Linked DNA regions of Daphnia pulex. The protein of the gene in region 1 purifies or fractionates together with the protein of each later gene. This does not show direct contact. Links are inferred from orthologs where the notes say so. Each region holds a gene or a part of one and is shown in the gene's direction. Other genes may lie near its edges.

Region 1 (3,124 bases):
TATTTGATTTTTAACATTACCCTTTTAATTGATTAAGGATAAACTATATTTAAAAATCACCAAAGAGTTTTTTACAAAATAATTCTTACAAGAATTTATGTTTCCGTCAGAGTCTGATGAGCTGCTATCACTATCGGAATCGTGGGCAGGTGGACAGATTCGTTTCCAACGACCAGGACTCATGTTATCGGAATATCTTTTCATCTTTAAGTGGTAAGTAAAATTAAAAGTGGCCTTGAAATTTACATAAAATGCTGTAGAACAGCCTAGACAAATAAGAAAAAGGGTGTGGATGTGGAACCTAGGAGAGAGGGTCACCAACTCACAAAAGAAAAACAAAAAGTTTTTACGTAGTCTGCTTGGGCAAATCGATTCATTTCTTAAATATCGATTAACTGAAAAACGCCCTTTCTGCCTTTCTCTCTGTAATTTTTACTCTTTTATTTGACGCAAAAAGTAAAAAATTGTAGAATAAGAAAATACAAAACAAATGACTAAAGCAGTGAAAAGAATTGTATTAGAAAAAATTTTGATCAAAAAGCGGTGTAAGATAACTTTAAAAAATTTAAAGTAGCGAACTTTTTATTTGAATAATTGAATATATATGATCTTCGATTGAAAATCCCCATCGCAGTTGACCTCATTTCTTGCCAAAAAAATTAAAAAACGTAGTGTAACTTGGCCCTTCTTTGCCGTCAATGTGCGAGGTGACATCATACTTCATGCGAGGATCGGCTCCCGAATTGCTGCTGGGGTGTATGGTGACCTTTGTGTGAGCTTCTACTTGTTTTCCTGGGTGATACTTTTCGGTAGTTCTAATGAATTTCCTGGTTTCAAATTCATTTTCTTTGTAAGCACCTCTGTTGAAATTTGGGGATGATAGGAAAAGATTATCTTTGTCTTTTCCCGATCCTCCAAGCATGTTAGCAAAGACATGACTAACATCACTGCCTCTGCCTGCTCCCATCTGTCTTTTCTCTTCACTGGATATGGAAACTTTTGATCCGTGACCGAAATTTTCCGATCGAATAACAGTAGATCTTGTGCGAACTCCGTCTTTGTCCTCAGCCGTAATTTTTAAAGACTTTCCATTCGACATTCTTGTTATTGTTACGAACTGGGCAACTGGCAATCTAACAAGCAAAATAACTTTACTTTTTCGTTATAAAGAAATTGGTTTGCCTCGGAACAATCGAAAAAAATACTTACAATTTAGAGAACTGAGTAATCGTGTCGAAACGGCTCAAGCAAAGAAACGGGTCTGAGACGAGTGACAAAATCTTCCCGTCTTTAAAGGGAAGCTGTCTGACACATGCCAGACGTCTATTTATAAACAAGAAACAACGTATTGAACTTGAACCGCCAATAAAAGGTTGAACTCGACTCTCGAACCGCCAAAAAGAAAATTTCTAGTCTGCTTGGAAAAATCGATTCTCTTAAACATCGATTATCAGACAGCAGAGTGAAAAAAAAACAAAAAGTTTTCGTTTCAAAACGCAGGCTTAGTGTTTACAGTTTTTCTTTTTATTCTTAATAGTCTTAATAGTCGCCTCAATGGAAGTTCAGACAAATAGTCACGACATACTTTCGGCCTCGTCGATAACGGCTGATTTCCAAGAACCTAACGATTGGACATATTCGATGAGAAGGGAAATGCAAGAAATTGTCAAAGGATTGTTCCTTGGGCCCTACTCGGTTGCAGTTCGATCCAAAGTATATGGTTTGCATAGATCTTTTATTCTTGCATTAGCCAATGTAATAAGTATAACAACATTACCTTCTTATTTTTTTAAACCCCAGGAGAACTATCTTGAGACTCACGGAATCACTCATATCGTTTGTGTTAGACAAGACATTGAATCTCACATGATCAAAACACATTTTGTTGATAAATTCCAGTAAATTAAATTATTCCAAACAAGGAACAAATTGTATGGACTTATTTGTATTGCACTTTTTCCTCAGATACCTGGTTGTCAACGTGAAAGATTCAGTCACAGAAAATATCATTCAGCACTTCCAAAAAGTTAAAACTTTCTTGGATAGCTGTTTTTCTGCAGGAGGCAAAGCTCTTATTCACGGTAATGCTGGCATATCTCGAAGTGCTGCCATTGTTCTGGGCTTTCTTATGCAAAAATACTGCCTTGACTACAGGTATATTTCTCAACATTCATTCATATATAAGCAGTAAAGCATGACATTCTTTTCAAGCTCTGATCTAATTTTTTTATTTATTTACAGAGAGGCTTTCAGTTTAGTGCAACAGAGAAGGTTTTGCATTAATCCCAATGAAGGTAGGTATTTTTTTAAATTGTTGCATCTCAGTTCATTAGAATAATAGTCTCACATAGCTCAAACTCTCTTAATAGGATTTGTTCAACAGTTAAAGGAATATGAACCTATCTACAAAGCAAACTGGAGTGTAACAAACAATGGTCAGTGCTCAAGGGAGCAAAGCACTTGGAAACGGAAGCGAGACAGTATCGAAAATGACGATGCTATGGACGAGTGACGCGTTATCCGACATGAGAATCAATAAAAACGTTTTGCGTATGCTGCACAATTTTTTCTTGACTGTTCCTTGAAGGAATAAAACAAGTGATTTTCAAATGGTTTGCAATCTTTTTAAGTCGATTACCGGTCCAAAGCTTTAATCCATTTATTTGACGACTAATAATTCAATGCAGTCTAGGAATATCAATCCAGCACCTAATATTTTACCTAAATACTCCCATACGATACGGTATTTAAGTTTCTATCTTCAATTGTATTGCAACAACTAATCTAAGTGTAAATTACCGTCGAAGCATTTTATTTAGTCCAACGAAGGTAAAGTATTTGTTTAAACTATTGCGATTGAGTTCACTGGAATATTTACAGATTCTATTCAACACTTGAAGGAATGTGAACCCATCTACCGCGCAAACTGAAGTGTAACAATTGCTCAAAAGAGTAAAGAACTTGAAAACGACCGAGACAGTAGGTATCGACGACGCTTTATATGGACGGTTGACATCCTGTATAAAATATGGGACAAAATGTTTTCCCGTTCTTGGCTGTGCCTCGACCCAATGATAAGAGTATTTTTTTTTCTTTCAGAAACTTTCGATCGGTGATTTATTCG
Region 2 (4,142 bases), on another chromosome or scaffold:
ATTTCAAATAACATTTTCAATATAAAATAGTTTCAACATAAAACAGACCCAGTAAACCGTAGCGCATGTTGGTCTCGTTCGTCATTCACAATCGAACACTATCAAATGACGCAACGTATGTTCGTTAGCTGCAACGACGACTCCATTGTTTAAATAGGCGCGCCTAACCTCACACCTCTTCAATCCGGTGCTTCTGCACTTAAATGAACCGGTCAAAGACCAATTGCTGGTTTATTAAAAAATATATAGATTTCTCAATGCCCACACAAAATGTGCATCAAAGTTTCTTGGCAATTCAATGAGCGACCTATTTTCATGACTGGGGAAGCGACGATAATGCCCGATGAAAGAGCGAATTCAACATTCAACACAAGATCACCGAATGTTTTGTGCTGCGCTTACTAATGATCTTTTTGAAAAGTTAATGCTAATACGGTAGCAGCTATCACTCCGAATCCGAGAAATTTTGAATGTCATGGGGCAATAAACGGAATTGAATATTGTAACAATCAGAGAAAAACGAAAATTTGTTACAATTATATTATTAATGAGGACGAACCTTCAACTTTTAAAAAACCTGCGAGATATCGCGTAAGTAGCAGTTTGAATTTCTTATATCGAACGTTTATAATTCATCGCGAGTCATCTAGCGATAGCTAGAAAAAGCAAGATTCGGGCGCCCTTTAACACTGCGTAGCTGCTATAATGTGTACAAAAATATAGATACACAATTTAGTTGGATGAATACTTAACTGGCTATTGGTTGAATCGGGTTCAACTTTCGTCCAACCGTATGAGAGAACTAGAACTCAACATTACGCAGTAACGTTTTCAACAGAGTTGAAATGCTTGAGAAACAATTTGCACCAAAACTTCCATTGTTATTGAAATTGTGGCTTTAATTCAGTTGGATCTGTAAAGGGCTGATGGTATGAAGAGATTCAAGGGGGACATTTCAGGAGGGGGAACGATGAATAGCGATGATGATCCGTTGAAGTTTCAAGAACTGAACAGTTAGAAACTTAAAAAAAAATATGATATAATACTCTTTGATAGTAATGCAATACAAAAATATTATTAAGGGTGGGGGATGTATGTACAAAGAAAGGCGGGAAAGATGAAATGAGGTAGGCCCACGTATTGGCCTTTAAAAAACCGCCTAGCTTTGTTGTTTAAAAAAGGATAATAATTACCACTATAAATTCGATAGTAACACTGTAAACGTGTCAAGTGGGTTTTGCTACGAGATTCTAAGCGAAATAAAGAAAAAAGCGCATGTGATGACGACCACAGGGCGCGTCCAGCAACTGGGAAATGTTAACAAGCAATTTGGCAACGCTTTTTAGTCCAGCATATATCGTTGTCTGTCTCGGCTTCACCATTCGTGTGAAACAAAATTCTCTTTGATGCTGATCCTCGTGTACAAATTTTTTTCTATATTTACGCTCTTTGTGAAATCGAAATGCCCGAATCATTTTAGTGCTAGATTTTTTCTATTTTAAATCCTTTATTTGATTAAGTTGTTTTTGCCCACCCGTGCTTGCGGAATATTTTCAAAATCGCATTTTAAAGGTCTGCCCTTGTTCCCAAAACACTACACACTATCAAGCCCTCGCCCATATCATTAAAAAGATTCTACTTTTATTTTGATTGCACTTTTTGACTCGTAACGCCATTATAATTTTCGCTGCACTTTTCACTGGATTTTTATCGACGGTAAGTGTGAATCATTCTTGCTTTGTTTCATTATTGTTATAAAAAGAAACCTTTATTAACAACATTGAATCTTCTTTCTTGGCAGATGAGATGACTAGTGTTTAATTGAGGATATGAGTTGTTGTCTAGGCAGCTGTGTTTTGGTTTCCTAGTAATAGCTCAGCTTCTCAATCTCTAGCTTACGTAGCAGTCAGAAACCCAGCAGAAATAATTTATGCCAGCGTCCAGAGGACGGAGTAGTGGGAGGGGCATGGGCGACACTGCTAATGAAAGTCTAGCTCAGAGAAACCTGGTAGACATCAATGTGGCTACTGTTGAAGAGCTTTCCACCTTGGTTGGAGTTGGACGCAGCAGAGCTGAAGCCATTGTGGAAACCAGAAATGTAAGTTTAGGATTAACCCAACACCAGTGTGTTTTATATGGTTTTGACATGTGTTTTTCCTTTGTAGTCCCTTGGAGGATTTACATCCATCGAAGATCTAAGTCTGGCTCCAGGTGTGGGGACAAATTTGATTGAAGCCAATCGTCAGATACTAACAATATCAGTACCAGCTCAGTCGTCTCAGGTGAATGCAAGAAAAGCCAACACTCGGAGCAGGTAAATAGTGTTATACAATACTAAATTTATACCCCCTTCTCATGGTTTTGCTATTAGTGTAGGTATATTTCTTTATTGTTACTCTTATCTAAGCCTTTGTTCTTTGGATTAGGCAAAAATGCGTCATTTGATTCTAAACATGTTTTGTTGTTGCCCTAGAAGCAGTGATAATACAAGCGCTCAACCGACTCCGAGCACCACACCAGTGATATCTAGTTCAAGTGATAACGCGACAGAAGACCAGCAAAACGACAGTGGAAGTAGCAGCAGCAACGAATGGGGTGCTTGCCGTTTGAGGCAGCGCCGGTCAACAAGCAGAATAAATCCACTGCCCGTTGGCAAATCGCCTTCGCTTCGACAGACTCGGAGCAACGATAGCATCATTCAATCGCCTCCTCCTCTCCCCACAACACCTACATCATCGACACCTACTGCTCCTGCCAACGACGCCAGCAATGTATCCGTTAAAGAGGAATCACCCACCTCGGAGAATGATGACGTCGCCAGACCAGGAGCTGTAAGTTTATCCAACACTTATTTGTTATTAAGAACATGAATTTAATTAAGGTGGTGTGTTGTAGACCAAGCGCAAGTCGGAGTCGACAGCTGAGATGGCAGCTGAAGTAGCCACGGAGAAAAAAACATGTCGAAGGGGTGAAGGTGTTGATTCATCTTCCTCGTCAATCTACTGCCATGTTCACCGTAATCCGATTCCCTCGAAAGACAATCCTCCGCCAGGATTTTGCCAGTGGCTTCACACGTTCCAAGTATTTTTCGTCATTCTCTCAACCACTAACTCATTGCTAAGAAAAACCATTTGTTATCATTGCAGTACTGGTCGAACGCTGAGCGTTTATGTGCCATTGACCAACTGATAGAGCTGTGTGAACCCACTCAGGTCCGTCACATGATGGCTGTTATTGAACCACAGTTCCAACGCGATTTCATATCGCTGCTGCCCAAAGAACTGGCTCTGTATGTTCTCAGTTTCCTCACGCCTCGCGACTTGACTCGCGCCGCACAAACCTGCCGTTGTTGGAGAGTCTTGGCTGAAGATAATCTCCTCTGGCGAGAAAAATGTCGTGAAGCGGGTATCGATGACGTTCGTGATACTCTAAATAAGCGACGTCTTCGCGGATCTTCCCACCACTCATCTCTCAGTTGTGGTCTTTCTTCCCCCACCGGATCTAGCCAAAACAATGCACCAATTATTACTCCGTCACCCTGGAAGGTGAATAGATCAATCTGGCTTAAACGTTAATAGGTTGCAAGATAATATTGATTCGTTGCATTTTCAGGCGACTTATATGCGTCACCGAAATATTGAGTTGAATTGGCGAGTGAGGCCGATCCCACAGCCAAGGGTATTGAAAGGTCATGACGATCACGTCATCACCTGCTTACAGTTTTGCGGAAACCGCATCGTTTCGGGATCGGATGACAACACGCTCAAAGTCTGGTCGGCTACTACGGGAAAGGTAATTCATTGGGCTTTCTGCCTAGACAGGACAAAGACTTTAAAAACGCGAAATGTCTTAAGAACAGACAACCATTTAATTGTCATTTCACTCAACAGTGCATGAGGACTCTGCAGGGACATACGGGAGGCGTTTGGTCCTCTCAAATGCAGGGAAATATTATAGTCAGCGGGAGTACAGACAGAACCTTAAAAGTCTGGAACGCTGAGTCTGGACAGTGTTTGCACACATTATACGGCCACACCTCCACTGTCCGTTGCATGCATTTACACGGAAATAAGTCAGTCTTTTTATCAGATATTTGTAGCAAGCACTCTTACTAATTCAACTGTTTTCCTTGATCAAAAATG

Evidence for each region. The genes of interacting proteins can lie anywhere in the genome.
Region 2: the proteins of serine/threonine/tyrosine-interacting protein B-like (region 1) and F-box/WD repeat-containing protein 7-like purify together in Homo sapiens (affinity purification with western blotting; 4 studies listed by BioGRID and IntAct, with this or other methods). This does not show direct contact. The link is inferred for Daphnia pulex from reciprocal best matches to the Homo sapiens genes STYX and FBXW7.

Annotation. Positions count from the first base shown.
Region 1 is NC_060024.1:13,317,709-13,320,832, forward strand, and holds serine/threonine/tyrosine-interacting protein B-like, read left to right. Parts: upstream 1-1,431; 5' UTR 1,432-1,554; coding exon 1,555-1,713; intron 1,714-1,800; coding exon 1,801-1,898; intron 1,899-1,965; coding exon 1,966-2,154; intron 2,155-2,241; coding exon 2,242-2,294; intron 2,295-2,369; coding exon 2,370-2,512; 3' UTR 2,513-2,610; downstream 2,611-3,124. Other genes in the region: E3 ubiquitin-protein ligase siah-1-like, read right to left, coding at 90-204. UniProt on the Homo sapiens protein: Catalytically inactive phosphatase. Acts as a nuclear anchor for MAPK1/MAPK3 (ERK1/ERK2). Modulates cell-fate decisions and cell migration by spatiotemporal regulation of MAPK1/MAPK3 (ERK1/ERK2).
Region 2 is NC_060019.1:12,535,958-12,540,099, forward strand, and holds the start of F-box/WD repeat-containing protein 7-like, read left to right. Parts: upstream 1-1,338; 5' UTR 1,339-1,716; intron 1,717-1,801; 5' UTR 1,802-1,930; coding exon 1,931-2,098; intron 2,099-2,165; coding exon 2,166-2,314; intron 2,315-2,473; coding exon 2,474-2,831; intron 2,832-2,895; coding exon 2,896-3,081; intron 3,082-3,146; coding exon 3,147-3,545; intron 3,546-3,612; coding exon 3,613-3,792; intron 3,793-3,890; coding exon 3,891-4,072; intron 4,073-4,142. UniProt on the Homo sapiens protein: Substrate recognition component of a SCF (SKP1-CUL1-F-box protein) E3 ubiquitin-protein ligase complex which mediates the ubiquitination and subsequent proteasomal degradation of target proteins.